3 linked regions of the Arabidopsis thaliana genome follow. The protein of the gene in region 3 purifies or fractionates together with the protein of the main gene of each other region. This does not show direct contact. Each region holds a gene or a part of one and is shown on either strand. Other genes may lie near its edges. The genes, in order: AT4G28230, AT2G31920 and CDC6.

Region 1 (9,875 bases), on a different chromosome or scaffold from region 3:
TCATCAACGATTTGTTACCTCTTTAATAACTATGTGAAACTAAGTTCTACTACATGATTTCGTTTATTATTTTGAAATCAAAGACTAACGCAAAATGTTGAATTGTATAAAGTCAATATCTGGTGTAAATTGGAAGAAGGGTAGAGAGGGTTTGGTGGGATCAAGAATGATCTGATTCTGATGTGAACAAGATAAGATTCGAATGTTTTTAAAACCCACCTAATTAATTAGCATTCATTTATTTCATGTGAATCAGCTGTGTCATTCTCTATGGAGTATACATTTTGACTTTAACACCACTCTTTCACATTCTATTATCGTCTAATTATACAACGTATACGGAACAATGAAAATCTACCAAAATGACGAATCGTTTCTGCAATTTTTTGTAGTATCCAATGATTGAATTTTTTTTATAAGATGACGATGAATGTGAAATCTTGAAGTGAAAAATTTGCAAGCACTATTAATTTGGGTGCATACACCAAACAAATCAGTCATGTCTATTTATATATTTTTGTCACTACTCTTTAAATACCACTATGTCCCTCTATATAATCATCTATAATAAAACCGTAATTGACGCTAGAAAAATCTCTTTTATTTTAATTCTTTTTCCATGGCTTTAAGAAAGCAACGTTAAAGAAAAGTAGGGTTGTATAATACAAAGTAGAAAGTAGTAGTCATGTGCATTGTGATAAAACAATCAAATCGTGGATCCACTTTTATTAATTAGATTCGAGCCTGAGTGACCAATAGTTACTATCTCTTGCCCCACCAAAGTTAGTAATAACAAAAATATAAACCTAATTTGTCATTAGAAAGCTCTAGGTGGTTGTTCGTTACATCATACAAACCAGCGCAAAAACCGTTAACATTATCATATCTATGTATTTTTTAGAACGAAATGATTGATGCGTTGTGCACACGAGATTGGTCACTAAGATTTCGTTTGCGTAACATATCCACTCCTCTCTATTCATAGACTATACTCTATACATACTGATAACATACAAACAGTTATATTGAAATGCATTTAAAGTATTTGTTCTCTTATCTATAAGAAAACAAACTAACTTGATATCAATAAATGAAAAAACATATATCGTGAAGAAATCTGTATCGGAAAAAAAAAACAGAAATTAAAGGATTGAGTCAGGTATCTCTTAACGGATTCCTCTTCTCTACCACAGAATCTGCGGGAAATTTCAACGGTCGAATCTCATAAATTACTAAAGTACCCTTTTAGGTCCCTCTGACAATGACACGCTGGATCGTGCGAAATCGACGCCTTAACTGTCGGTGGGTCCTAATTTCTAGTGGCATTTCACCGTAAATAAGACCAATGGCAAAGGGACTAAACCGGCAAATAGAACTTTAGAAAACAAAAAGAGAAACCACAGAAAGCAGTTTGCTTCTACCTTTTATTTTTGTCTATATAACAACAACAACATTGACATATCAATTCACACATAAACTCACTCTCACTCTCTCACTGTCGGCAAACTAACTTATTCACTTTTCCGGCACTGATTCTGCTCGGGAAAAACAACTCCGGCACAAAATGCAGCTTTTTCCAGTCATGTTAGCCACACTCTGCATTGTCCTGCAGCTTCTCATTGGCTCGTCAGCTTTGGCTACGACAAATCGCCACGTGTCAAACTCTCATTGGCTTCCCGCAGTAGCTACATGGTACGGAAGCCCCAACGGTGACGGCAGCGACGGTAATTATAAGTCTATAACACATAATTAACCACACTTCACAGTCTAGTGATTCCTAGTTAAACACTAACATTAACTTATATACCGCAATTGTGTAGGAGGAGCGTGTGGTTACGGTACGTTGGTGGATGTGAAGCCGTTACATGCGAGGGTTGGAGCGGTGAATCCAATTCTCTTCAAAAATGGTGAAGGTTGCGGAGCTTGTTACAAGGTTCGATGCTTGGACAAGAGCATTTGTTCCCGGAGAGCCGTTACCGTCATAATTACCGATGAGTGTCCCGGCTGCTCTAAAACCAGCACTCACTTTGACCTCAGTGGTGCCGTCTTTGGCCGGTTAGCTATTGCCGGAGAGTCAGGGCCTCTCCGTAACCGTGGACTAATCCCAGTCATTTATCGCCGGTACGTATATTAATATTATTCTCATTATTCTTGTCATTTATTAATGTTTATGCTCTTTCAATAACTAACTCGTGACAGTGCACGAGCATATAGAAAAATAGGAATTATTTAGGTAAGAGGCTAAAACAGAGTTAATATAATTATTAGATTTATTGGAATGGGTGTGAATGTATTAAACAAAAGAGGTAACTTTAACGGCGATCTCGTTTTGTATGGTCCCAACCATTTCTTGACCATTGACCATTTGATCTCTTTTTTCTCACTGATATAATTTTACCTTCTTTCTTTCTTTTGCATAATAAAAAAAGGACTGCATGCAAATATAGAGGGAAGAACATAGCATTCCATGTGAACGAAGGATCAACTGATTTTTGGCTATCTCTGCTGGTCGAGTTTGAAGATGGAGAAGGAGACATTGGCTCCATGCACATTCGCCAAGTAACTCTCTTTTTATCTTTAATAACCAAACTCGTGCACGCACTTCTTTAATTTCCCTTTTTTCGTACCACAAAGTCACTTCCACTTCAAAAGTCTTCTTTTTATTTTATTTTACTGCACTAAATAAGAAAAAGGAGGAAACGAATCTCAGTGGAGTGAGCACATGTATGGATCTTTTATTGACCAGCTAGCTAAAAAGGCACACCACATCACTCAAAGTCTTCTAAAAAGTAACAATAAAAACAGACTCAAAGTGTAAAGACTGATGGGCTTTCTTGTGTTTTGTGAATGTTTGGTGCAGGCAGGAGCCAGGGAATGGTTAGAGATGAAGCATGTATGGGGAGCCAACTGGTGCATCATTGGAGGGCCACTCAAGGGACCATTCTCCATCAAGCTCACCACTTTGTCTGCCGGTAAAACACTCTCTGCCACCGACGTTGTCCCTAGAAACTGGGCTCCCAAAGCAACTTACAGTTCCCGCCTCAACTTCTCCCCTGTCCTTTGAACCATCTCTTCTACATAGTCAAAGACTATTATAGTTCTATTACTACTACTACTCGTGTGATCGTTTTTTTTTAGAGAGAAACAGAGTGACTGCTGGCCGTAGGATGGAAACAGTAAGAAAAGTACATCCGAATCAACGGCTATTGCGTTCTCTCCTCTTCCTTCTTGTGATGTGGATTTGTGTGTGTGTGATGTGTCGGTGAGTGTGTTATAGAAGTCACTATAGCCATCTTCAAAGGGGAGATAGAGCTAGGAGTAGTATTTGGTGGTGTCACGTCGTTTGTTTTTTCTATATAATTTTTGTCACTATGTCTTTCTATTATGGGACATGGCATAATATATCATATGAATAATTTATCACTATGTCTTTCTATTGTGGGACATTACATAATAATGTATGATATGAATATTATGTACACTACTTCAGAGAGAGCATTGGTATTCTACCAGAACCTTCAGAGTATCTCTTCTTGTTTCGTCTCCTCAAAACCCAAGAAATATAAAATATACTACGAACTAATACGAAGCTTCAGGTTCCACTTCAGGTTCCACTTCTGTTTCAGAAACTGCATCTTTTGGGGTTTGTTCCCAACTGATATTGGCTCCTAAACATTTGTCCTTCATGTATTTTTCATCTTTAGTATATATCCTCTTTCCTGATTTTGTTGGTTTTGGATGGAGGAAGTGGTATCACATATCACATATGTTGTAGGATTCGTCTTCAGAAACTCTGACACATTCTTGATAGATTTCTCTGTTTTCCCATCTCTGAAGGTTGTTTGTCTGCAACTTTTACCACTATGTTTTTCTCAATGTTGGGAACCTCACATGGGATCAGCTGTGCTTGTCAACTTATTTTTGGAATTTCTCTTGGACCAAGTAAAGCTGCAAGAGACACCAAATCCACTCAAGTCTAGTCATACAGAGAATCACCTGGAAAAAAAAGCAAGTGAAGTCAAAGGAATGTGATTCCGCGTAGCTATGATCTGATCAACATGCATTTTCTTTTCTCAAGGTGCAATGGCGTTTTAACTTGACCATCAAACATTGAGATATACAGTCTATACAAGTTAATAGTCATGGTTATTATAGTATTATCTGACGGATTCAAATTTGACATATAAGAATCGGGGAAAAGAAAATGTAGAACTGGTTATAGCCAAATGCAAGAAGATATGTGATGCAATAAGATAGTTTGACATGAGCATAAATGTGATAGACATATGCTTAGATTAGTAGAAGAAGCAGACAGGGCTTATCTAGTATAAGTGGGATAAGCATAATATGTGAACGGCCCACATCCTCACAAAGCCAAGTCCAACTATCACAAGATTCACTCATTCCACTAATAAACGTTTTCAAATTAGAATGACAGAAGAATATGATAGTTAAAACTACTCATTAATATATTGGTGATAAAATAAAATAAAATAAAATAAAATTAAACTACTCACATATAATTGGTTGGATTAGTCATTAAAGATAGCACTTAGCAAATCAAAGTAAAAACAAATACTCACTACTAATAATAAATTAACCGGAAGCAAAGGGACAAGAAGTATTGATGGACAGTAATATCACGTGAAGGGGCACGTGATGACCCAATAATCGGTTAACACGTAACCAATCCCCTCGTGGGACTCTATCCTAGTCTCTAGGCACCACCCCACCCCTCACATAAAACCATCGTTCCATTTTGGTTTTAGGCCGACCTATCGGTTTTTCATTTTCGTATAAAACAAAACAAAACAAAACAAATTTACATTCAACAAAAAAAAAAAAAAAAAAAAACCAAATTACAAAAATAATTAAGAATGGGGCCCACATGAAGGGGTCGATAATTGAAGCAAGGGTGACTCATCTTGAGGATAGGACCCTCTAAGCTCGCCACTTGTTTCCTCATTACTCAGCACTTTCAATTTCCCCCGAGATATTTCACGATAACTTAACCATATCGTACCGTATCGCTTTCCTATACCTGGATCCCACTAATCCATTGTGCACGGTATCGCTTATTTTAGATCTTTTTGAATTTACCTATTTACCCTCACCCCAATATCCCTCTGGCTATAAGTACCAACCTCATCTCTTCATTTCCTTCCTACAAAAATCGAACTAATCTTCCTTTTTAACAAAAGCTTCTCAAATCTTTCAAAGGTTTCCAATTTACGAAGAAAGGATCTACAACATATAATCACTATTAAAGAATGAGTTATCTGAACAAAGTGTGGATGGCAGCATCGTTCGTAGCTGTTCAAGGAAACGCCGATCACGGCGTCAAGTTAAAAAGCGGTCTCACCTCTGCTCACCGTCTCCAACGAAGACTTTCCTCCGATCTCCGTCCTCTCGCCGCCGCAGATCTAACCGGCGACTCTCTCCCTTCGGAAGAAAGACGTCGTACCTCTTCTTCCACTCCCGATGAGTCTCTCCGACAAGTCATGTACCTCAACTGCTGGGCTCAAGGCTAAATTCAGATAATGATGGTCGTGGCTCGCTCATGAACTCCGCTGAATCAGAATTTTTTTCTGATGCAAACTGTATATAGTTTGGTTCATCTGTGGTGGTTGACTCGTGCTTATGAAATCGCTTGAGTCGGATTTTCTGGATGCAACTGTATAGTTTGGTTACATCTCTGTGAATATTAGAATGTTCTAAAAGATCAAAGCAAGCCTTGGATTATGAGAGAACTCTGTTCATTTTCTATATCTTAAAACATCGTTCGCTCACCAACTTTATTACAATCTGGAATCTTGATTGCGATTACCACTAATTTCAACTTTATCCACAGTAAAATACGATTCTAAATTAAACAATAGTACTAAAATATTCCAAAACCATCGTTATCCAAAGAGACAGACAAGTCAGTCACTCCATAATGCTTTTATTTATTTATCTATTGTGGTTGTCATTATTGAGGTAGGTCCTATAATTCATCTTACGAGCAAACTGAAATGTTATATTCGTCGGGCCAATTGTGCGAGGAACAAGAGGCCCACAACGAGATCAGCTCTTGGGCTATTTGGCCCATTTATGTAACTTGGCTTTGAATGAAATCGGAGCGTGGCTGCTTAATCCAACGGTCCAAATCTGACGACGCTCCTTAATGGAGTAATGAGTAACGTCTCCTTCATTTCCAACGGTCAAATAATCCTCAAGAAATACTCGCTTCTTCCTTCTTCCTCCTCAAGTGTCCAATTCTTTCTCCAAACCCTAAATTTCTCGTAGAAGAAGATCAAATCGCTCTGAATATGACATCAATTGAGGCAACAGAAACGCTTAACGCTCCTCCAAAGCTTCAGATCTGGAACAACGCTGCCTTCGACGATGGAGATTCTCAAATCACTTCCGCCATCGAAGCTTCTTCTTGGTCTCACCTCAACGAATCATTCGATTCCGATTGTAGCAAGGAGAATCAGTTTCCGATTTCGGTTTCCTCTTCGCTCCAATCCTCAGTCTCGATCACCGAAGCTCCGTCAGCAAAATCCAAGACCGTGAAGACCAAATCCGCCGCAGATCGGAGTAAAAAGCGAGATATCGATGCAGAGATCGAAGAAGTAGAGAAGGAGATCGGACGATTATCGACGAAATTGGAGTCGCTCCGATTAGAGAAGGCGGAGCAAACCGCAAGAAGCATTGCTATACGTGGAAGAATCGTTCCGGCGAAGTTCATGGAATCATCTCAGAAACAAGTGAAATTCGACGATTCGTGTTTTACAGGATCGAAATCAAGAGCCACTCGTAGAGGCGTTAGTCTTGGACCAGCGGAGATATTCAATTCCGCGAAGAAATCTGAAACTGTGACTCCTCTTCAATCAGCTCAGAATCGACGCAAGTCTTGTTTCTTTAAGCTTCCTGGAATCGAAGAAGGTCAAGTGACGACACGAGGTAAAGGAAGAACGAGTTTGAGTCTGAGTCCGAGATCTCGCAAAGCGAAAATGACGGCAGCTCAGAAGCAAGCAGCTACGACGGTGGGGTCAAAGAGAGCTGTGAAGAAAGAAGAAGGAGTTCTCTTAACAATCCAGCCTAAGAGGCTATTCAAAGAAGATGAAAAGAATGTTTCTTTAAGGAAACCATTGAAACCAGGAAGAGTTGTGGCTAGTAGGTACAGTCAAATGGGTAAAACGCAGACTGGAGAGAAAGATGTTAGGAAAAGGTCGTTGCCTGAGGATGAAGAGAAAGAGAATCATAAGAGGTCGGAGAAGAGAAGAGCTTCTGATGAAAGTAACAAGAGTGAAGGGAGAGTGAAGAAGAGATGGGAGATTCCAAGTGAAGTTGATCTGTATAGCAGTGGTGAGAACGGTGACGAGTCTCCTATAGTTAAGGAGCTACCTAAGATCAGAACGCTTCGTCGTGTGGGAGGGAGCCCTCGTGATTCAGGTGCTGCTAAGAGAGTTGCAGAATTACAAGCCAAGGATCGTAACTTCACTTTTTGCCAGCTTCTGAAGTTTGAAGAATGAATGATCCGCTTATCAATTTGAGTAAAATCCACAACTCTTGTTGTGGTTACTTGATTGTGAATTTGTTTGGTTTTGATTTTGTTTTTCGGCTCGCAGAGCAAGAATCTTTGTTGGAATGCTTAATGTCTTTTCTAAATACACATTAAGATTGTGAGTTTTTGTTATCTTTTGTAAATGTCAGCTTCATGAAGAAAGATTCTTTCAAAAGGTTTTTGCTTTGCCACTCACAAACAAGAAGTTTGGCCACAGCTTTGTGAAATTTACACCAAAAACAAACGAAAAAGAGAGAGACTGTATCTTGGTTTCCTCTTAAACACATTACAAAATGCAGTATTGAGTCAGATGCGGCTTGAATCCCTCCCGAATATGTACCTCCTTGTCCAGTCCGACACCACCAGAGCCCTCGTTCGCCAGCTAACTTGCTTGCTGCATCATTCATGTTTCATGTTTCAAATTCTGTGCATTTACTATAATGAATAAAAGAGTTTCTCAGCGTTTACCTGGCATAAACAGAATACCAGAGCCACTGGGCGCTTTTTCCAGCTGAAACCCAGTCTCCAGGTAGTTCAGCTGCTGCTTGGTCCCCTCCTAGTGGAGCAAATTGTCCAAAGTGCTTGTACCTGTAATCAAGCGAAGAGCTTTCATCTCTATATCTTGGAAGTTTATGAGGATGCAAGGTCCTGAGTTCATTAGATTAGGCATACTGGAAGGGGCGAAACTGATGATGCCCGCCAGTTCTGAAGCGCTTAGGACCTTCAGGTAGCTCTTTACACTGCTCCATCCTGTTGAAGCATTTTGCAAGATAAGCACCTTGCTGGGCAGCGACCTATGCAAACAAACAAGCAGACCATTGACCCTGACATCCTAGATAAAACCCACGATTCTACGCATAGGTGAATTCACCAAGTACCTGAGCAGTTGCAGGCAGGGTTTTCATCTGTGAATCAGCCTCCGAGAGAGCCAATTTGAATGCCTCAATGTCTACTTCTTTCCTTGCATTTCCTTCAGAATCTGCCAGCAGATCGTTAATATGCCTCATATGCTTGCTTTTCAGGTAGAGCTCCACCTGCGGATACCTCACAATAATATCATCAACCACGCCTTCTAACTCTTCCATGGTCAAGGTTCCTGAGTTGTCCGCATCTGCAGCTTTGAATATGTTTGCAATATCCCCCTAAATTAAGATTCACAAGAATCTATCAAGATTTAGCATGCATATGAAAAAAAGAAGGGAATAGCATCAACAGTCTAATGGGGTTCACAGACCAAGATTTTTCGTTGAGCTATGGAAGCACAATCGCCAACTGCATATACATTCTCACATCCTGTCACTTGTAACCACTCGTTAGTTGCCACCGCACGTCTGCCTCCTTGGCCAACTTGCTCCATGAAGTCGCTGATAACTGGACGGGTTCCAACTCCAGTGGACCACAATATCAATCCATGAGGAATACTTACGAGTTCTCCACTTGATTTGACTTTCACTGTGATATCTTTATCAGTCACAGACATTACACGCATTCCAGTCTGAACATCAATACCATCTCGCGTGAACTTTTGTTCAGCAAATGAACTGATACGTTCATCAAACCTGCAACAACCAGTCAACCACTTGTCAAACTCCACAATCAAGCCTGGCATGAAGAAATGATGAAGAAGTCTATAGTACTGTTGATTACTTACGTATTCAGAATATGGTCTCCAGATTGAATGAGTGTTATTTTTACGAGCTCTTTGACTGAAGGGTATATTTTGGTGATATCCTCTATAATAAAGTCATGTAGCTCAGCTGCAAACTCCACACCAGTAGGACCTCCTCCCACGATTACAAAATGAAGCTTTCTTCTTCTTTGTTCCTCAGTGAGGCCAGGAAGGATTGCTTTTTCAAAGCAATCAATCACTCCTCTACGAATCCTCTGTGCATCCTCTACTTCCTGCAGTATTTTTGAAGAAAGGAATTATGAAATTGGGAGAATTATAATCTTCACAAGTTGAAACCATGAAAGTTACCTTGAGAAAATGGCAATTCTCAAGTACACCAGGAGTGCCAAATGTGTTAACTTGAGCTCCCACTGCTACGATCAAGTAGTCATATCCAAGGGAAAATTCTTGGCTTGCTTCAGGATCATCCTTGAAAACTGGTCGACAGTGAACCTTCTGATTAACATGATCAATCTTAAAACAATCTGCTTCCCACAATTCAATTTCCCCATTTTTCTGATAACAACAACAACAGATACTATTTAAGTAAGAACTTAGCAGATGGTGATGATGCCTGCATACAGTTTGAAAGAGAGGCCTTTGTTACCTTCTTGGTTATATTACGGACAGACTCCACAATGCTTCTAGCTTCAA
Region 2 (10,957 bases), 890 kb from region 3:
AAGAGGATCAAGACGAAGACGCAGAGATGTAAGGGAACTGGAGGGCTTCCTTCTTGATCTCTTCCCATTATAGATTCTTGATTGTTGTTTAATTGTTTTCTATTGAGAGTTTTCTTTAGATGTGAGATTTTTTTTTTGTAGAGACTTCTTGATGTTTGAGAATTGAGATTGATGAAGAAGTTGGAGGATGAGGTGGGTTTTATAAAGAGAAATTAATTAACAATTAATGTTTAATTTGCTTCGGAATTCGGATTCTACAAAAATGTAATTAAATACGTTCTTTTGTATTCAGTAATAGAAATTTAATTTTATACAATGGATAACGTAATATATTATTTAAATTTACAGATAGGTTTATGAATCAAACTGGATTAAGCGAGTGTTAAATGAACTAACGGAATTAATCAAAATAACAATGAGAATATGAGATCTAAATTTATTATATATATATATAACTATAAATGTAATCTGACGTATGTTTATTTATTGATATGATATGATGATATGAGCAACAAATTTTTGTATATATATTGAAATACAGTTTGATATAATGAAATATTAAGTTATAATTTTGGTACATAATTGGGATCAAAACTGGACAAAAATTGGGATCAAAACTGGACAAAATTTAAGCTTAAAATTTCTTAAAACATTTGTTAAAACATTTATTTTTTGTCTTAAAAGTTATAATTGCAGAAATCTACTTTTAAGCAGAAAAAAAAAAATTACTTGGCGTATATTTTGTGAAGTATAATAATGTTTGGTAGCCGAAATAAAGTAAAAGAAAAAGAGCTGACTGGACACTTTAGTTAAAGATTCTTGCTTTTCGACGGTGCCACAAGGTTACTTAACATGGTCGGTGAGGCCATGCATGATGCATCTCCAATTTAATTGGTAAAAAAGATACCCAATGATAATATGCCACGTACTACCGACCCTTTCCTTACATCTGAGGTCACCTGATACGTTCTCATTTTATTTTATTTTATTTAACCAACAAAAGTCTATGATAATATAAGAAAAATAAATAAATTAGCTACGTTGTTATTTGTGAACAAAAAAAAACTACGTTGTTATGCGTACCCGCCTAGTAGTCGGTACGATACGACAATAAAAACTCGATAAGCCGGAAAATATGTTGTGAAAGCCCTAGGGAAATAAAGAGCAGGAAAATTTTGAACGACAAAGATTTTAGGCTATAGTTATTGACATATTGTAAGAGCAACAAACAATATCGTCAAATATAGTTTCATGATGTCAACTTGTTACGTATTGTCTTTTTTTTTTTGTTTAAAAAAAAACAAAAAAACTTGTTAACTATTGAATTTGAGAAGTTTTGTACATTTCGTAAACTACATGATTATAAAAAAACAAAAAAAAACAACATCCATATATTTTTAATTTAGACAAACTAACTGAATCTAACAACGAAGAATTCAAATTTGATACTATATATGTTTTTCGAGGATCAAAAACTGTCTTTAATTATGTTAATTATTCATGTGACTTCTTGAGTATTTACTCGTTTTTTAGTATATGATAAATCATATGGATGAACTACATAGAGTGTTAAAGTTATTTATTACAATGATATTTTGATATTATTATATGTTATCTTCTTAGGAAATGAATTTAAAGCATCACTAATTTGGAGGTTATATATATAGCTATAAAATCGCCACGCTTCTGCATATTTTATATTATGTAATTTGGATTGAAACTAAGCAATGTTGATTAAATTAGAAAGAAATTGTATTGTATTACGTATAAAGTAAAACAAACCCTTAACATTAAAACCAAAAAAAAAAAAAGTATAACAAAAATAATATTTGATTGACTGAGAAGATTACTTACCTATAAACTATTTTAAACATTTGGCAATTAGTTAACCCCGTAACTATTGTAATGGCAGAAAATGAGGATAGGTCTTAGTCAGACATCGTCAGTTAAATTGTTCATCTATGTCACGATGTGTCATCTGATATATATGAAAAATACAAAAACTCACAACTCACAATCCGAGCCACAACACTTAAATTTGTTTCATTCTTCGTGTTTTATTTTTCTTTAAGATTTTTTTTTTTATTGGGTTATAATATCGCGAATATTAATTGGAAAACAGAAGTAAAACAATTATCCAAAAACAAAAATGGTTGTATTTAAGAACATATTTTATGTTTTAAAACATTATCTTTGGTTTCTCTTTATGTTTTGCCTTTTCTTTATAAAAAACACTTCAAATTGTTAGAGCTACAAAAATATCAAAAGTTATATATTACAATTATGTATAAACCTAAAGTTCACCTAATCGTAACTAGTTGGCAAAGAACGACTACAGTTTAGACCGTTAAACCAAAAAAGATCAACCGTAACACCCTAAGATCTGACGACGAAAAGACTTTAACAGATTTGTTTTTTTGGCAAAAGCTCAAAACACAAAGCAAAACTCATGTAGTGAGATTCTTAACAAAAAAAACAAGAGTTGCATGTATATAGTGCTAATTACAATCTCAAGTCAAAACCAATATGCCAACAACAAACGTGCACATCAATAATACGTACGTACGCAAAACATTCCAAAAAACTGCCTAGTCTACAGCTTATCTCTAATAACTAATCGTATAATATATATATATGTGATCACGTATATGAAACGTACGTATATAGGATTCAAGTTTTAAACCGAAAGACCGGCGATTTGTGGTCACGTTTGGCCTTTATCAAACCGCTCCAGACCTTAACATATCGACCCACCATACCTTTGAATTTCAAACCACCTTGCTTCTCTTTCTTCACCACCAATTGCATCGTCGGCTTGATCCCCTCGCCATCCTCGAAATGTTGATCTAGAGAGCTCTTGTTGTTAACATCAGCTTCTCCATTCAATTTCTCATCGCATCTCATCAGATTGTTCAAACTCTTACGATCAATCTCTTTGTCTTCGATTTGCTCTTGTTCTTTGTCTGGTTTTGGTTGTGAGCTTTGGGTGCATATTGCATGGTGATGCATATCGTTGATGAGACTAGACCATGGTTTTCGAGTTCTTTTCGACATGCTTAGATCAAACCGTGGCTTGGTCGGGTTTACTACTTCACTTCCCATGGTTATTAATCATACAAAAGAGAATCTATACTCTTTCTTTCTTTTTCAAAGGAGAAAACTATATAGAGGAATTAGGAGTAGCTATATGTCCATTTTCACTTTTGAATTGATAACGTAAGAGGTCGGTGACTGTGAGTGTTTGGACTACTCGTTACTTAATTAATAAATAAAGAAATGATTACAATCGTGACTCAGATGTCTATTTTGTAACTAATCTTAATTTATCTTGATACTTTGGGTTACTTGTAGCATACAATAAATTGAAACCACAACGGACCAAATTTCTAGGCTTGGGTTGATAATCCATACGTTTAAAACCGAAATTGTGAGAATAGTGTGGATTTATCTAGCTCGTGTCGAAAATTCAATATAGCTCATTCACTTAGATTGTGTCTGTAACTTTTGTAGCTCGAGCAGAAAAGAAATAGGATCCTAAGATTGATACAAACCCATCTCAGTCGCCAAGCTAGGGAAATGTTAAGATCCGAAACTTCTTATCATGTACTTTTCTTGTAATAAAAAAAAGTGGAAAAAGAGATACCGGATAACAAAGGTACAAACAAAGCAAGTTCACAAAATTTGGAAGGTTGGTTGGAGTGCGACCTGATGGGCGAGTTGGAGTGTCAACACTCAACACAAACACAGGTAAGTAAATGATTGGACACTTCACTTAAGTTTTCTATTCCAAGCATCTCCCCCATAAATTTGACAAGGTATTAATCATCAAACAGGCCTTGCATGAAAATATTCTTACAATTATTTTTTCTCTATAGAGTAATTTTAGTTGGACTTGGCCCATCACAATACACGCTTAAATGTGTGTAAAAGGCTTTATGATGTTAGGATTAGATAGGTTTATGATGACAAAAGAAATCTTCATCCTAATCGCATGCATAGTATGTTGTAGGTAGTGTACATCAAATATTGCTAAAAAGTCTCACTTGCAAATCACAATCGGATATTACAAAAGAGACAAAAAGGCTCGTGCTTTACACCTGCAACCAACAAAAGCTTTTTACTTGCAGCCCTTACCAAATCTCGAAGACAGAGAGACAAAACTGTTTACTTTTCCCGACACAGTAAACGACGAACTCTCCACATTCCCCGAGACACCTCTCTCTCTCTCTCTCTTTGAGATTCCTTCCCACTCTTCTTCTTCTTCCTTCTCCCAAAAGATGCTTCAGCTTCTTTTCCCACCATGGCTTCCCTCACTCCTGGAGTTCTCTCCAACCTTCTCAATATCGCCGCCGGAAACTCACCTTCTTCGCCGCCATTGTTGTCTTCTCATCGTTCACCACTCCTCCAAGTCATAGAAATCGTTCCTTGTCTCTCTGACGACCAATGGCGTAGCGAAGCATTCTTCGTCAAAGTCTCTGACTCTCTCCACGCAGCTTACGTCGCCGTTTCCACCGGTGATGACGCTGATCTGATACGTTCCGATGAAATTCAGCTAGGACAATTCATTTACATATGCGGTGGTTTACACGTCGAGAAAGGATGTCCTGTTCCTGTAATCCGTGGTTTGAAACCAGTCCCTAAGCGGAGGATGTGTGTTGGAAACCCTAGCGATCTTTATTCTAGCGATTTGCTGCTTCCTTTTACTCAGGTCTCTGTTTCTCCGACGACGACGAAGAAAAAGAATCTTGTTGAAACAAGGAGATTGAGTTTGGATTCCGCGAGAAGGAGTTGTTGGGATCAAACTCCTCCGGTGACTCGTCGTCGTGACGCTGCATTGCTTCTTTCTTCACCACGTCTTAAATCTAAATTGGTACACCTTTCATCTTTTTTTTTTTTTTTTTTTTTTTTTCTGTGAATCGCTCTGTTTTAGTGGTTTGTAGGGATTCTTGTCCTTTAAGTTGCCTACAATGGTATGAGATTGATATATGTGACATGTGAGAAACCAACAATACTACTAGACTAGTTTTCGTAGACCTTGAATGTTGCTCTGTGAGTCACTCTGTTTGATTCTTTTTGTTGCATTTGGTTGGATTGTGGAAGCTGTTGTTTTGAGTGGTGTAGGGTTTCTTGTTCTTTAAGTTGCTAAAATAGTTTGTTTCAGGAAGACCTTAAAAGTTGTTTCTTATAGATAGTACAGCAATTTGATATTGGTTTCACAGTTCATACACTTGAAGTCCTTGGCTTTCACAGATTTGTGATGTTTTTGCAGGTCTTGAATGATAAGAGTCTGCTAAAGATTGAGTCCCCATCAAAGTACTTTAACTGTGGAACCTCTCCTGCCTTAAGGAACAAGAATGTGGTTAAGCCTGGATCACCTATATCCATGGCTAGTTCTCCGAAAGATGGTATCAAGTCACCTATATCAAAGCACCTTAACTGCGAAACCCCTGCTTTAAGAAGCAGATATGTGGTCAAGCCTGCATCACCTATATCCGTGACTAGGTCTCCTAAAGATGGTATCAAGTCCTTGTCAAAGGCAGTGACTCCTCCGGTTGCGCTTTTTAAGGTGCCTTCAAGTCACATGACTTGGTCTGATCAAAGAATGTCATGGAGTGGACTCCCAAAAACCATTCAATTGCTCGGAAAGGTACGGTATTTGGATCAATCTACCGACTCTAAGAATTCGTAGTCATGTCTTTCAACCCCTCCTTTCAGGAAGTTTCATCACATAGGCAAGTAGCAGTTTCGGCAGCAGTAAGTGCACTGGAGGAAGCATCTGCCATGGAGTCTGTTCTATTTAGTTTGCAGTATGTCTTCTCTATTTCATCCCTAACCAGTTTCATTACACGAGTTTGCGAGTCCTTAATAATAGCATACATATGAATTTGTTCCTTCAGGGCCTTTGCCGAGCTGTGTGATTCTACTAAGAAGTTATCTACTGGACAAGTAGTGGCCCGGTTCTTGGACATCTACCACAATACACAGAATACATGCAAAGCGGTCCATCGGTTGCTTACTCAAAATCGAAACAACGGCTCGTGTAGATTAGTAGTAAATAAAAATGCAACATCTTGGGTTCAAGCTGCGGTAGTGACTGGTTTTTCTCAGTTCAACTTATTTAAAGAGCCTGGAAAGAAAGGTGATGCTGCTGATCATCACTACATTGTTATGCAGAACTCATCCGAGAAACTGAACCCCAAGGAGACAACAAGTTCAAGAACCCCATCCTACAAAGGCGCGAAACCGCCTGCAACGAAACATTGTTCTGTTTCAGACCGAAGTAGCTTAGAAGGTAAAAGCAGTCTGAAGGATTCAACGAGTCTAGCGGATGAGCTAGTCCAAGTTTCCAGCCAATGGTTCTTGAAATATTTGGAGAATTCATTGAACAAAGGGTCTTTCTTGGTGAAGACGGAAGAAACAAATGGAAAAGAGTCTCTTCTCGTCCACCTTAAAGCTTTAAACCATTGGCTCGATGATCTGAACTTAAACAGAACAGAAACGAACGAGAAAGTCGAAGATTTAAGAAAGAAGCTGCAACGGTTTCTACTTGAGCATATTGAATCTGTCATTGGGGATACTTACAATATGAAAAGAAAGATTATAAATTCCATCTAAAGAATGTATACAATATGGGTTAAGAAAAAACAATCATCTGCGCATACTGTACTGATGTTCTACTTCATCATCCTCGTCTTCCATAAAAGGCGTAGCCTCATGATCGGTCTTGGCTTTACCTTGGACAGGTTCTTGATTGTTGTTTTCTGCGGTTTGTCTGTTAGCAGAAGAGTATTGTTGGACCACAAGAACCGAAGCTTGCATTGTGAAGTTTGATGAAATTAATGTATCGCCTATAATCCCTAAATCCGGAGTACTATTCCAATCTGTCAACCCTGAGGTCACAGGTGTTTCTACTTGATATCCTCTTCCCACAATGTAAAGATCGTAAGAATTGTTATCTTCCAGTTCTAAAATCGCTGTGATCGTTTCTTGGCCATTCTTAACCACTTTCTCTACATAAGTCACTGATGGATCATTCATAGTCTTGAAGTTAAACTCGTAGATGGACTCTTCATCGACATGTTTATCCTTCTCGTACTCGTCCGCGGCTTCCCCGGCTGAGACTAAAGCTTCCTGGCTTGGGACGAATCTAACGACCGTGAGTTGAACCATTTCTTGTCCCACCATCCTCCAAGCGTAAGCCAAAGCCTCTCTGTCGTCTCGACCTCCTAGGAATAGCATGGCGATTTCTTTCTTTGTGGTTTCGCCTTGGAACATAAAAGATTCAAACCGGACAGTCGTCATGCCACGGTCAACCAAAATCCCAACCGAACAAGGCGCGTGGCTCATAACGTTTTGGTTGATTTCAGCGTGCACTGCGTTACCTTCATTTAACCGACCGTCTGACGTCATATTCTTGTGGTAAGGCAATAAAATGAAGCAGGCTTGTTTATCCTCGGCCAACAAACAAATATCTTCGTCCATCGTTGCGTAAGGTGAAACCGCGGTAATGGTCTGAACCATTACCCCGTCGTTGTTCACTTCGAGAGCTGTGAACATCTCAGCGATCTGGTCAGATTCCGCTCTAACTCGGTCAGCAAAGTTAGCTTTCGGTTTGGCCTCATCGTTCATAATGAGCAACGAAGCCGTGGTGCGACCCGTTAGCTCGACTAGGTGGATAGCAAAAACGTTAAGAGGAGATTTCTTGGTCGGGTTAGAGAGTTGTAATAGATTGGTTATGCCAGAGACGTTAGGGAGGACATGGACGCATGTCAATACACAAAGCTCTGACTCTCCTTTGTGTTTTTGAATGGTTCGGTTTTTATAGAAAATCAACTTCTTCTTTGGTTTGTAAGCAATGGCTAATAGTGGCTGCACCACCATTGACATCACTAGAAACGCCAACGTCAGATGAGTGTACATAATAACGTCCAATGCCTTGGTGTCTCGTCCAGCATTGAGAATGACTAGTGCCATTGTTCCCTTGGTATTCATAAGTGCACCAATGGCTAAACCATCACGCAAAGGTATACGCAAGAAAATGGAGCAAAACATCGTTGACAAAATCTTCACCATAACCGACGCAGAAGTCACAACCGCCATCATTCCAACGCTCACGGTCCTGTTCATGTAACCAATATCAGCTCTTAAACCGCAGATGATGTAGAAAAGAGGCATTAGCATTCCCGAGAGGAAATCGTGGAGCTTCTCTTCGATCATTTTTCGAATGATGTGGTCATGAGGGATCGATAGACCGAACAAGAATGCTCCGGTAATTGAGTGAACCCCACATACTTCGGTGATTAAGCTGCAAATAATGACTCCAGCGAGAGTGTACCATACGTGAGTGTCTCCCACTTGACCTCCTTCGACGGTGTTGTTGAAGATCCAAGCCACTCCAGGTTGGATCACAAAGTAGCAGAGAAGGACAAAAGCTATGGTTGATGCTAATGAGTATGGCAACATTTCGTTGCGTACACCTAACAAATTAAATATGGTTTTCGTTAGTACTATAATTCAGTAACTATGCGTGTGTGAGGAAAAATAACACAAGGGAACAACCATATTTAGTTACCAGATTTGGAAAAAATCGCCATTCCAAAAATGAAGAGAATCCAAGTGCACAAATCAGTAACAACGGCTGCACACATTGCAGTATGTCCCATATCCGTACGCAAGAGCTTGAGATCCGCAAGAATCCTAGCAAGATCAGGGAAATTTGTACAGCCAAATGCGATCGACCAGTACATACAACCTGCTAGGATTTTGTCGGCCTCTCCGTTACTGGGAAGGTAGTATAAGCCAGCACCGGCAAGTAAAGCCGCAAGGAGGCCAACAATGGCTATGATCACTGGTTTGATGTCTTTGATCTTTATCATCCTCAAGTCCAAGCCGAGACCGAGGAGGAAAACGTTGTAAACGAGAGCTAAGTTTGCGAATGTCTCAAGAAGCATTGTATATTTATAAGGGAATATAAGTTTAAGGACCACTTCGTTATTGCCGAGCACAGTCGGGCTGAACAGTAATCCGCACTGTAAACAAAATAATCATTACAATTATTATAGGATCATATTATAAATTATGTACGAGATTAATTTGAAAAAGATCCAATAATATAAATCGTATGTTGCAAGTGGACAAATCTTAAATTTTTTATCATTTTGGTTTTATCTTAAAATCACCGTTTTCGAAAAAAAAAAGAAGCAAAAAGCTGAACTTTCGTTAGAACAATGAAGTTAATTGTTAGCAAAAATTTAATCAAGAATTTGAAGATGAAGACTCTTTAGGACATAGCTAACAAAGAAAAAAAAGGAAACATAGGTTTGCAATAGTTGTGGGTAATAAGTAATGAAAAAAAACAGTTTAAAGATTGATAATGGTTAGTTAAATATGTTTTCAAGATTGACTACTCACAAGTATTTGAGCGACGAAAGGAGGAAGACATAGAGGCTTAAGAAAATAGTAGAGTATGCGGTAGGTAAGATTAGCGACAGACAGTTGCGTCATAAAGAAAGGAGCTGCGGCTGAAATGGTGTTGCTTCCATGCATTGCCGTTTGGTTATAACATACGACTCTCCCAAACCGCGACGAACTTGCATCAATAGATTCAGCTGCGGGATCGGCCATTTATTGGGGGGATTTTCCTTAATAGATTTAAACGGGATTCTCTCAAAAAAAACCCAAGGTTTTGGCCTTTTCCCTTTCACAAAATCTTTGTGTTTCATCATCTGTTTTGTTTTATTGCATTAATAGGTGAGAGCTACACAATCTGTTTTTCCTTTTTTTTTTTTTTCTCTAATCTTCTTCTTTGTCATTGCTAATTATAGTTTTTTTTTATGTTTGATGTCAAATAGAAAAGTACTAGTAATTTAGCTGTCTTTGTATTCTCTTTTGCAAATGAAATTAGTCAATTTTGGTTGGTTTTCTTGTTTAGTCTGTTATAAAGGGATTATAAAATCCAATTACATGCTGTTTTCCTTGTTATCAAATAATAGTACTACATGATATCAGTGTTTTTTGGATAGATGAGTTAATATCTCCCTTAGTGATACAATGATATATTTTTATTTCATTTAAGGAAAAAGGCTAAAACACAGGGTTGCACATGTAATCATGATGTTCTTGGATCAAGAAATTAGACAGATAATGATGCAGGTTTGAATATTTAAAGATTACTTAACAAAACTAAAATAAAAACTTTCGACCATAAATAAAAAAAGAGAGGGAAAAGAAAGCCAAACCTAGCTGGAAAAGTTAATCCAAATGGTCCAGTCTCAGAAACCGGCCTTAACCGCCACCGGAGATTCTCCACCGGCCATTACCTTCACACACCCCAGAAAATAAATAAATGGAAAAATATGTAACTTTCTATAAGATTTGACAAAGTCTACACTTTTAAGGTGATGACTTCAAGTTTAAGCACCACACATTGGTGAAAGGCCTTTTGGCTCTGCAGTAAGAGATGGAAACAAACGTAAAGGGCACTATTGTCTTTTAATGAAAAAGAGGAAAGAAGTTCACTTTCACAGCGAAACAGTACCTGGCCATGGCCGATCAAGAGAAAAGTTGGTGCAGTAGCAATATCAAAATGTAAAGCAGACAACTTTATTGTTCTAAAAGCAGAGATTTCACATTTTGTTCAACGTACGAGGACCCCATTCATACTCAAAAGGAAGCATCATAAAGCTTTGAAAAGGAGAAACATATGAAGAGTGTGACCTTACACCAAACAGTTTTCTATGGAATGCATGGTTTTCAAAGCAAATGACCTAAGAGAGAATATCTGAAAGAAGTTGATTTGCCGCCGCCTTTACTGCATCTTAAGCTCTAAAACCTGCAAAAAAGAGTTAAGAGACTTAGTGGAGACGAGAGGTGACTAGGTGAGGGAAAAGTCACTTTCTAAGTTAAGAATCTCCAGTATCTTCTGATTCAGAGTCGCCTATTTTTTTATGATTCATCT
Region 3 (11,632 bases):
AAAGCCATGTAGATATTTTACTTGCTGTAAGATAATAATTTATTTTAAAATGGTTTAATTAGGAGTGTGAAAATAGTAACAGTTTTGCAAGAAGGTATGCTAAAAGAGTGGGTCCCGTAGTGTCCATGTAATCTGGCGTTAACTTTGATGTGTGGTAAGTGTTGCGATTTGCGTCTATGTTCATTTTGCCCTCTTTGGTATCAAAATTTTTACATCTTTTTCTTTTAAATTTTGTTTGTATAGAAAACGTAAATACGTCTGATCCAAAATCGACGGATTCGAAAAATCGTAAATCGTTCATGAAATGTGAGATCAAGTTTTGTAATGATGCAATGAAGGAAATAATTGCTTATAGAAAATTATGTTTTAGTTTTACCAAAGTAGTGATAGAAAATAATCTCCGTTCTAGGGAGATTTTGATTACACTGTTTCTCTATATGGTTATATAGTTGGGGTGACTATATAGTGGATCCTACTATTTTTTACTTGATTTGAGTAATTTATAAGATACCTTTTTCTGTGCATGTGCAATGATGATTGTAACAAATAACTACGACTTCGTAAATTATCGCATGCATGTATTTTTGAGATATATATCTAGTTTCGTAAGATTTGGAGCTGCCCCATTTAACAACTTATATTTTAAATTGAACAAATATCAAAACGTATTTAATAATTTCATAACCAACACACAATTCAAAACACCAAAACCGAACTAAACTGAAACAAAACAAAGAAAACCAAATTAACTGCAATTGAAATTTACAACAACAAAAAATGAACCAATTTACAATTTCGGTCTCAATTTGATAAATATGTATAAACGTGAGTTAAACAATGTAGACCATAATGGACGAGCTTATAAGTTCTAGTTCGGGAAAAATCAGCCGAAAAAACTGTAACCAAACCTAACCGAAAAATCGAAAGTTAAGAAGAATAACACAAGTGGTTTATATCTTGTTTTGTTTATAGGGTGGTTATATCTTGTTGAAACGTGCCAAATGGAGGGGGTAAAAAAACCGACGGTGGAGAAGGAGAGAAAGGTATGCACCAACTTGCCGTAATTTGACGTCGTTGAGACATTGACGTTAGAAGAAGGTGAAGAATTGACGGCTCTCGTTGGTATTCGGCTTATGTCCTTCTTAACGGTTGATATTTATTGTTCTTTCAACAATATTGGACTCTTCTCACCTTTCATTGATATTTATTTATTCCCTTAGTTTATTCAATTCCATTTTACAAAACGTACGGTGGAATCTGACCTTGTCCTAATTTCAGTTTTTTTTTTCCTTTTTATTATCGTCTATATTTGGACCATCGAGAATATTTCGTAATTAAAAACTTTAGGGTACACATGGATTTAAAACGAATTAGCTCGTCTCGTTACGAGTTTTATGAATATAGGATGTGAAATGTGTTTTGAAAGAAAGTTCTAGAGGAACATATACTGATTATAACCAGTCCCTCATAGAAACTAAGCTTAATCGAAATAGACATGAAATAGCAACTGAATTCAACGTTAATCATTATATCACCAGAAGAAGAATGGTAGATGTATATGAGAAAGAAAATAAGTACTGAGAGCAGTTGTAATTATTCTTGAATAGACATAACATATTGTAATCTCGACCAACTTAAGGTGTAATTTATATCTTATAAATCCTTGTTCTGTAACTCTATTTACCTTAGCTCTCCATAACTATATTATTTGGATGAATAAATCCCTGATAATTGGCTTCTTTTCTTTAAAAATATTCTAAATAATAAAATGCTTTCGAACAAAAGATTAAATATTATTGGAGAGTTCATAGAAATATTTTTCCATACCATTTTCTAAATGCATTATTATCAATGTTGGTGTGGACCATAGTCGGACGGTAGGCTAAGGGTGTGAGATCCGCTTAGTTCTATTAAAAAATTCTCGTATCCTCGGCATGGCCCGTCAATTTAAGTAAATATAAAATATGTAATATGAATACTTGAATTTAGCAAGAGATAAGATCATGTGGATTATTTGATTTGTTCGTTTGGGAAATGTACAATTCTAAAAGGTGAAAAAGTTAGTTATAGATTATGCAAGTGATGGAACTAATTGCTAATGGGCAGCGACAAGGAAGACTAGTATTAAGACAAATCATAAAACCAAACGCTAAATGTCCAAAAATGTATGGAGGGTTAATAAAAACAAAGAGAAAATGATAGAATAAATCATGTGATATATACTAAGGAGTAAGGGGGTTTGGTTTATGAAGATTGATATGATGGAGCTGGGCAATGAAACAAATGACGATATGATCGATGGGCATTACACAGTGAAAAACTTTTTGGCAGTGAATAATGTTAATTAAATATGATCATGACGATATCAAAATAAGATGTTAGATATATATATATATATATTCACATTTTTTAACAATAGAAGATCTCGATACGGAGGTGTTATATGTTATTTAACAATAGGAATGTGTTACTTTGTATACCAAGTTGTCTAGGGAGGTAAGCTGTTAAATTGACCATATTTTTTGTGTGAGGGTAAATATCAGTGAAACGCATCGTATATTGGTCATCCGATAAATATTGTTGTATTGCATGTCAGCCTTCTCAAGAATAATTTTGATTGGATATGTAGTGGTTAATTAGTTGGCGATTGAAATACCACCTAACCTCGATTTTGGGGTATTATGGAAAAAATGGCAAAAAGTAGAGTTTGAATTCTGACAATGAGAAGAAGAACGTTCGCAAAGCTCAAAATGTTTGTTGAGAATGTGTATAATCAAAATGTTTCATTGTTTTATATTTATTTTTGCCAAGGTTCATTTGCTTAGGTCTTATGTTGTAACACCTATCTTTCATCTAATGATATTTACTCTCTTAGCAGCAAAAAAAGAGAGTAGAATTTGGATTCCGACAATGAGAAGAAGAACGTTCGCAAAGCTCAAATATTGAATGCAATTTAATTTATATAAGGTAAATAATTTGGTTGATTAATATGCAACTCTTATGTACTTTATATAACACAACAAAATATAAAAATCAAATTAACATATATAGGAACTAAATTCTTACATAGTTATGACTCTTGAAAGGAGGATATAGCCAATACGAAAATCAAAAGGAGAGAGACATTACAAAGGCCACCACTCTTATTATCTCTTATCTTCTTTCCACCTAGTATTTATCAAAAAAATCCTTCATTTTATATTCGTAGATATCTAGTCTACGCATGCATTGATTTTTTTGGATACATGCACATCATATAATAAATCATCGTCAATTCATGTGGATATCCTTCTTCTATATCAATGCATTGATTTTTTTTGGCAACAAATCGTATGATATATGATCAATGTATGTGGATATCCTTCTTCTATATCAATGCATTGATATTTTGGCTACACATCATATGATATATCATCGATTTATGTGGATACCCTTCTTCCATAAAACCTTTTATGAACCAGATATACATGAAAAATATCTCCACGTCGTCTTTATATGTTGATATGATGATATCTCATACTTCAATGATTATATATATGAGGAAATAAATAAATATAAGTGCATTGACAGTTTGACACATAGATCACCTAGCTTTCTTATCTTATATTCTGATTCTTTTTTGTCATTATATGTAATTTCTGATCTATCAAGTAGTTAAGAGTGAATAAACTATATACAGTTGCTTCATATTTTTTTATACTATATGTATATAATGAGAAAAGCTATTATAGGTTAAGATACGTTTACTATTGTTGTGCACGTAATTAACTATTATCACTTTTTTTCCCCCGCCAGAGATGGTAATGTGGTAAATGGTCATATATGGGCCGTTAAAGGGCTTTAATAGGCGTTAAATTGTTCAAACCATAATGCGGCCCAATAAAATTGCCGCGAAGCCGATGGTTTAAAACGGTAGCCGAAGAAAACCGGGCGGCGAAAAAATTCTGTTCCATTGCTATTTCCCGCTACTTCCATTTTTCCCTCTTTGTTTACTTTTTTTTTTTTTTTCATTTATTTTTCTTATCTCATTTTCCTCTTAAAAACCATGAGATTGATTCTTCACTTCGATTCCATTGGATCTCAATCTCAACATCGATCTCGATCTCCCGCCTTTTTTCTGCCTCCTTCTGATAACCTACAATGCCTGCAATCGCCGGACCTAGTTCTTCCCCTCAGAAACATGTCGTCGGTTCTAGATCGGAGAGTATCGGAGGTGTTAGATCCGCCGAAGTCAACACTTCTCGGAAACGGAAGTTGATATCCGATTCGGCTGCGGAGGTTTCAGCGACGGTGGTGTTGCCTGTGAATTCGATATCTACACCGATGAAATGGAAATCGCCTCGTCGATGTGCTGTTTCAATCCCTAAGACCTCTGATGAGGTAAGCTCCTTGTTCTTAGTTTAATTGTTTGGTTTAGTTTATTCGAGTGAGAGAATCAATTTGATTGTAGTTCTGATTGCAGGAGATTAAGGAAGATTCTAATGAAAAATTGGAAAATCCAGTGATATCTGTTTGTTTAGAGGTTAAATCAAAGTGGAACCCTAAAGGTATGTATATATGATGAGCTTTTTGATTCTCATGCTCTTAGTTAGTTTGATTGTATGATTGATGTATCTTGAATGGATACAGATGATGAACAAATGAAAGCTGTGAAGGAGGCATTACATGTATCTAAGGCACCGTCAACTGTTGTTTGTCGTGAGGATGAGCAAAGACGGGTTTTCGAGTTTGTTAAAGGTTGTATGGAGCAGAAGAAGGCTGGTAGTTTGTATATATGTGGGTGTCCTGGAACTGGAAAGTCACTATCCATGGAGAAAGTAAGACTACAAGCTGAAGAATGGGCAAAGCAGGTAACCAATCTTTGTGCATGTTTCATAAATTGTGATTAGTTTGAATCTTTCAATAGAAGGATTGATCTTTCATGAATTCTTACAGGCAGGTTTGCATTGTCCTGAAACAGTGTCTGTTAATTGCACATCACTGACAAAAAGTACAGATATTTTCTCCAAGGTAAGACCTTATCCAGTCGAAAATTACTCGAAGTTATTGGTCTCATCATTTCAGTATAGTTGTTAATTGAGTTATTTTGTTTTTAGATACTTGGTAACTATGAGTCCGGGAAGAAAGCTAATGGTTCATTTTCACCTCTACAACAACTTCAGAGATTGTTTTCTCAAAAGCAACAACAATCCAGATCAAAGATGATGTAGGTTTTTCTTTTGTTTTTGGTCTTGTGATATGATGACCTGCTAGATAAGTAGATATAATTTGTTGCGCTGTTTCTCATTCAAACTTTATCTGCAGGCTAATAATTGCAGATGAAATGGATTACTTGATCACAAGAGACCGAGGTGTCCTTCATGAGCTTTTTATGCTCACAACTTTGCCATTGTCAAGGTGTATACTTATAGGTACTGTCTTTTGCGTTATTAATGTTCATTTTTTAAAATCTGTTTCCTATGGTCAAACAAGTTTTAAGTTTAAAGTTCGTATTTGTCCTCCAGGTGTAGCAAATGCAATAGACCTTGCAGATCGTTTCCTTCCAAAATTGAAGTCTCTTAATTGTAAGAATTTCTCCATCACTGTGTGGTGCCATTTGAACACTCTTCTTTCTTCACCATATGTACCTAAGCTTTGATGAAGATTAAAAGTTGAGTATACTTCTGTAACTTATACTTCCATCCAATGCAGGCAAACCTTTGGTTGTCACTTTCCGTGCCTATTCTAAAGATCAGATCCTTAGGATTCTGCAGGAGAGGCTTGTGGTAAGTCTTAAAAGATGCCTTTAATGAGAGAGGAATGGCTGATTAATGGTATTCAAGGAATTATGAAGAAAAAATGCATAGTAGATTAACATGTCAATAACAATTTTTGACCCATTTAAGGACCTTGAAACTATATGATGATATATCTAATCTAAACTTATGGTACTTCTATGTTGATCTTAAATTATTATTTTCACTATTTGTAACAGGCACTTCCATTTGTTGCATTTCAGTCCAATGCCTTGGAAATATGTGCAAGAGTAAGAAAATATATGTCATTTTTTTATTTCTCTCAACCTTGTTTTCATTTTGATATTCTTTAATTGATATTCATAATGTTTGCATTGTTCCAGAAAGTATCAGCTGCATCAGGAGACATGAGAAAGGCTCTATGTGTCTGCAGGTGAAATCTCTTACGAATTTCGTTTCCTTTGAGTTTGTTCTTGTATTGCATATGATGAATGAGATAGAAATGGGCTTTATACTGTAAATTCACTCTTAAAATCATTACATTAAAGATGACAATCTCAGTTAACTCACATTTTTTTTCAATTTCCAGGAGCGCTCTAGAAATCTTAGAAATAGAAGTTAGAGGATCAATAGATCAAGAACCAAAAGGTCCAGTTCCAGAGTGTCAAGTGGTTAGTATTTTACTCTCTACTTTACTCAGTTCACTTACTGACGATGCAAATATCCATAGAAACCGTTGTCTTATCCCATAATTGTTTTTATCGAATCTATAGGTCAAGATGGATCATATGATAGCTGCATTGTCCAAGACGTTTAAATCTCCAATAGTTGACACCATCCAGTCTCTACCTCAACACCAACAAGTAAGTTACACATCAAAACACACACACTTATTGATATCTGGTTCTTCTCGTTTTTAACTATTAAGTAACTGTTAGGATATGCTTACAACATGATCTTACCTAGAATTAGCAAAATCGTAGTATTAAGAGAACAAACTTGAAGTCACAAAGAAACTAAAGACCCGTGTTGGTTCTCTGACTTAGTGGCTAATAAGACCTACTCTGAAAGTATGTAATGGACTGAAATAACATGCTTCTATTGAAAACTTGCAGATCATAGTCTGTTCTGCTGCAAAGGCTTTTCGAGGGAGCAAAAAGGATAGAACCATTGCAGAGGTAAATCTTCATTGAATGAGCAATACACAAACACAACTCATGAATTTATAGACATTGTACATAATATTCATCTCTGTCTTCACACTTTGATGCAGTTAAATAAGCTATACTTGGAAATCTGTAAATCTTCGATGATAACTCCAGCTGGAATTACTGAGTTCAGTAATATGTGTACAGTGCTAAATGATCAGGTACTTATCTAATCCTATAAGATTAACTCTCATGTTTGTGTATGGTTTATGCATTATATAATAGACATTTGATTGAAATGTCATTGTTTTGTTTGGCACAGGGGATTCTAAAACTTAGTCTTGCTCGAGACGATAAACTAAAGAGAGTGAGCCTTAGAGTAGATGAAGCAGACATCACATTTGCTCTTAAGGTATATACATTACACTCTTTGTTTATTATTCCGAAAATGCAGTTTCTTAAGTTAACACCTTCTCTTTTCATTGCACCACAGGAGATTCGATTCTTCCGCAACTGTCTTCTATGATGAAGTTACTGAGTTATAGTCTTATAGATGGGTTGGTTCCTTCATTCTTTACAGAATACAAAGAGTTATATATATATAAAAAAATCAGTACACATAAATTGTTTATTCTGTCATGTAAATGCAGGAACATAAACAAAATATAATCTTTATTAGTTTTTACTGGTTAGCGCAAAAGCTGAACTCATATTATGTAATTCTTCTCTTTTTGTACTATTAGTCATGCTCTCAATGAAATTAATGCCATCAAGTGATTGTCCTTGACTCCTTGATTCCTGAGTGTTCGTCTGATGCATTGTGGCTATTAATTCCGTTCAAAATCTTGGAGGTCTCAGCTTTAGTCTAAGGCATTTTACAGCCACTATGCGCCGTGGTTCACAAAAGCCCTCATATACTGAAGACTCTTTTCCATTTGCCATATTCTTATTCATTATAATATAAACAATCTATTAATCTTTTTACCAACTTTGTCATGAACGAATTCACCCCAACGGAAAGTTAGAAGTGTTTAAAACATCTCCAAGGTGCTCTGGTGCACCATTGGTTAAAATAACATGTGCATCAAGTATATTACAACTTTTTGTTGATTTGCTATGATTGAAAATGTTTTTCTTCGTATTTTTTAATTTTAAAATCTCTATGAAATTATTAAAATATCCATGAAATTATTAAAATCTATAGCTTAAATTTCAAAATCATGGATTAAATATTTTAAATTATTGATTGAATAGCACATAATTTCAACTTGGAAATTGAAAATTACCAAAAATTCTGATTAAATTTTAAAATTAACACAGATCATGAATCCAGCAAACCCCTAAGGAATAAATGTTGGTTATAAAACTATGCTTGACTGTTTTTTGGCAATAAAATCCAGATATGCTTTCGTTTGCGGTCCCATTCGGTCCGATCGCCGGTCCGGTTTAGAAAACATTGCTTTATGGGCTTTGTATTTGTAGTACTGTAGTGTATATATTCTTCTCCCAGTCCACACTTAAAAAGGTTTAAACTGGTATCGAAAGACTTAAAATCAACGAGCTCACGGGGATGTCGGCCGTTTCAATCTCCGCCGTCAAATCTGATTTTTTCACCGTCGAAGCCATAGCCGTTACACACCATCGGACGCCGCATCCACCACATTTCCCTTCGCTCCGGTTTCCACTATCGCTCAAGTCCCCGCCGGCTACTTCTCTTAACCTTGTGGCTGGATCAAAACTCCTCCACTTCTCGCGTCGTCTTCCTTCTATCAAATGCTCATATACTCCGTCGTTAGGTAAAAATCTGATCTCCCCCATTATTAGCGCCTCTCAATTTCGATCGAAGTTGAACTTCTTCTTCTCCTCACAGATTTATCGGAGGAACAGTTCACAAAATTTAAAAAAGCATCGGAAAAGGGAAACTTAGTTCCTCTATTCCGATGTGTATTCTCGGATCATTTGACTCCGATACTTGCTTACCGATGTTTGGTGAAAGAAGATGATAGAGATGCTCCTAGCTTCTTGTTCGAGTCTGTGGAGCCTGGTTCGCAATCGTCCAACATCGTAAGCCTTCCTTTTTGATGATTGTTCTCAGTGTTTGCATTTTGTTTGGTTCAATGAAATTGAACTCTTGGAGGATTTTTCTCTTAGGGTAGGTATAGTGTAGTTGGAGCTCAGCCTACAATAGAAATCGTTGCAAAGGGAAATGTAGTTACTGTGATGGACCATGGAGCTAGTCTTAGGACAGAGGAGGAAGTGGATGATCCAATGATGGTTCCTCAGAAAATCATGGAGGAATGGAATCCACAAGGCATTGATGAATTGCCTGAAGCTTTCTGCGGTGAGTGGAGAAATCTGTTTTTAAATAGAGTGATGTTTGTTTTAGCATTGCTGATTTGTTTGGATGGTTGATTTGATTTGTAACCAGGTGGTTGGGTTGGATACTTTTCATATGACACTGTACGTTATGTTGAGAAGAAGAAGCTGCCTTTTTCTAATGCTCCAGAGGATGATAGGAGTCTTCCTGATGTTAATTTGGGTCTTTATGATGATGTGATCGTGTTTGATCATGTTGAGAAGGTATACTAGTATTTGCATCTTCCTGCGGATTATGAATTGAAGAGTTTATCTAGTTTTTCTTGATCCTGTTGAGCACAGAAAGCATATGTGATCCACTGGGTGCGGATAGATAAGGATCGTTCTGTTGAAGAAAATTTCCGTGAAGGAATGAATCGGTTGGAATCTCTAACCTCTAGAATTCAAGACCAAAAACCGTGAGTAGATTCGTTTTACCAGTCTTTAGATTGTAATTTTTGTCTTTTATTTGTAAATTCTGTTTATGCTCATGTGTTTCCTTTGAATTGCAGCCCCAAGATGCCTACTGGTTTCATAAAACTACGCACTCAGCTCTTCGGTCCGAAATTGGAGAAATCAACTATGACGAGTGAGGCATACAAGGAGGCAGTGGTGGAAGCCAAAGAACATATCTTGGCTGGGGACATCTTTCAGATAGTTCTTAGTCAGAGATTTGAAAGGCGGACATTTGCGGACCCATTTGAGATATATAGAGCTCTTAGGATTGTAAATCCAAGTCCCTACATGGCCTATTTGCAGGTATACTCTTTTGGTCCTTGTTTCCTTACATCTTTTCTGAAAATAATATTACTAATCTGTGGACTCTCTCTTTTATTTTCTTGTATGTGTTTAATTTACAGGTTAGAGGATGCATATTAGTTGCATCAAGTCCAGAGATATTGTTACGTTCAAAAAATGTAAGTGTTACCTACTCTCTCCTCTTAATCTTTGGTTCCCTTAATCTATGAACTTCGTTTCATGAATGGCTCAATGTGTGTTTCTTTCTACTACAGAGGAAAATTACCAATCGCCCCCTTGCTGGAACTGTCAGAAGAGGGAAGACACCCAAAGAAGATCTAATGCTGGAAAAAGAGCTCTTAAGCGATGAAAAACAATGCGCAGAACATATTATGCTTGTTGATTTGGGAAGGAACGATGTTGGCAAGGTTCATCACTTTACCACTGCTTTCACTTTCAGTCTCTTACCCTCTTCTTTTAGAAGCTAAGATGCAGTTCTTACTCGGTAGTCTAACTTGTTGGATATTCTTGTAAACTCAGGTTTCAAAGCCTGGTTCTGTGGAGGTCAAGAAGCTCAAGGATATAGAATGGTTTTCACATGTCATGCACATTAGCTCCACGGTATGCTCCTATTGCAATTTTACAAACAAACAAACTTTTAATTCGAAAGTCCTTTGTTTTCAGTTTATAAGAGATCATAGTTGGATAATGAAATTTTTGAATAGAAGTGGTGTTGAAGCCTAGTTCTCTCTAGACTACAGAACCCATGAATATGTGACTTCACATGTTATGTACATGAGCTTAACAATATGCTGTCCAATTTCTGTTTGTCTCACTACACATTTCCATCTTCGCAGGTAGTAGGTGAATTGCTCGATCATCTAACAAGCTGGGACGCTCTTAGAGCTGTACTTCCCGTTGGAACCGTGAGCGGAGCCCCAAAGGTTCTCTCTCACTAAAACAACAAACATTACACATTCACCATACTCAAAAATCATTTGTTACAGGTAAAAGCCATGGAGCTGATAGATGAACTTGAAGTAACAAGGCGTGGTCCTTACAGTGGAGGCTTTGGAGGCATTTCGTTTAATGGAGACATGGACATTGCCTTAGCTCTCAGAACAATGGTCTTCCCAACAAATACCCGTTATGACACATTGTACTCATACAAGCATCCTCAGAGACGTAGAGAATGGATTGCTCATATTCAAGCTGGAGCTGGGATTGTTGCAGACAGTAACCCTGATGATGAACATAGAGAGTGTGAGAACAAAGCAGCGGCTTTAGCCCGAGCCATCGATCTTGCTGAGTCCTCCTTTCTTGAGGCACCTGAGTTTACTACTATCACACCTCACATCAACAATATCTGAGCATAAGCATTCTTTATTTCTTTACTTTTGCTTTCAGCATTACTCACTCCACATAGCTGTTTGATTTGCGAGATTGGCTCTTTTAAGTTTTAGAATTTAGGACTTCTGTCCGAGGTTTGAGGTCTGTCGGACCAAAATTTGGTAGCAAATATTTACAAATAATATCATATGATCGATCATACAAGTATAGTTTGAACTACTGATAAAGGCTGTGATTGATACCAGACCAACCACACCTATTGGCAGCTAACCGCGTTAGTGATCACCAATTGATGAAACCTTAATC

What was found.
Region 1: the proteins of CDC6 (region 3) and AT4G28230 purify together in Arabidopsis thaliana (affinity purification with mass spectrometry, with the first as the bait; one large-scale study listed by BioGRID). This does not show direct contact.
Region 2: the proteins of CDC6 (region 3) and AT2G31920 purify together in Arabidopsis thaliana (affinity purification with mass spectrometry, with the first as the bait; one large-scale study listed by BioGRID). This does not show direct contact.

What each region holds. Positions count from the first base shown.
Region 1 is NC_003075.7:13,993,635-14,003,509, reverse strand, and holds AT4G28230 (uncharacterized protein), read left to right. Parts: upstream 1-6,202; 5' UTR 6,203-6,311; coding exon 6,312-7,520; 3' UTR 7,521-7,731; downstream 7,732-9,875. Other genes in the region: EXPB3 (expansin B3), read left to right, coding at 1,565-1,724, 1,821-2,121, 2,430-2,559, 2,861-3,064; AT4G28240 (Wound-responsive family protein), read left to right, coding at 5,271-5,531; NDB1 (NAD(P)H dehydrogenase B1), read right to left, coding at 7,859-7,946, 8,021-8,140, 8,225-8,346, 8,431-8,694, 8,787-9,111, 9,204-9,454, 9,531-9,737, 9,829-9,875.
Region 2 is NC_003071.7:13,569,711-13,580,667, reverse strand, and holds AT2G31920 (elongation factor 1-delta, putative (DUF936)), read left to right. Parts: upstream 1-4,286; 5' UTR 4,287-4,300; coding exon 4,301-4,870; intron 4,871-5,269; coding exon 5,270-5,647; intron 5,648-5,715; coding exon 5,716-5,807; intron 5,808-5,897; coding exon 5,898-6,615; 3' UTR 6,616-6,648; downstream 6,649-10,957. Other genes in the region: AT2G31940 (oxidoreductase/transition metal ion-binding protein), read right to left, coding at 1-68; AT2G31930 (uncharacterized protein), read right to left, coding at 2,671-3,102; CHX21 (cation/H+ exchanger 21), read right to left, coding at 6,649-8,477, 8,573-9,029, 9,412-9,624.
Region 3 is NC_003071.7:12,685,446-12,697,077, forward strand, and holds CDC6 (cell division control 6), read left to right. Parts: upstream 1-4,135; 5' UTR 4,136-4,140; coding exon 4,141-4,380; intron 4,381-4,462; coding exon 4,463-4,547; intron 4,548-4,629; coding exon 4,630-4,850; intron 4,851-4,935; coding exon 4,936-5,010; intron 5,011-5,096; coding exon 5,097-5,206; intron 5,207-5,304; coding exon 5,305-5,564; intron 5,565-5,691; coding exon 5,692-5,765; intron 5,766-5,974; coding exon 5,975-6,025; intron 6,026-6,118; coding exon 6,119-6,168; intron 6,169-6,324; coding exon 6,325-6,406; intron 6,407-6,508; coding exon 6,509-6,598; intron 6,599-6,850; coding exon 6,851-6,913; intron 6,914-7,008; coding exon 7,009-7,104; intron 7,105-7,205; coding exon 7,206-7,295; intron 7,296-7,376; coding exon 7,377-7,409; 3' UTR 7,410-7,427; downstream 7,428-11,632. Other genes in the region: AT2G29679 (uncharacterized protein), read right to left, coding at 3,831-3,953; ASA2 (anthranilate synthase 2), read left to right, coding at 8,454-8,679, 8,754-8,947, 9,035-9,224, 9,312-9,463, 9,542-9,657, 9,751-9,997, 10,099-10,155, 10,252-10,404 and 3 more. UniProt on the Arabidopsis thaliana protein: May be involved in the initiation of DNA replication. May play a role in endoreduplication. Could act as one of the factors that contributes to maintain endoreduplication competence.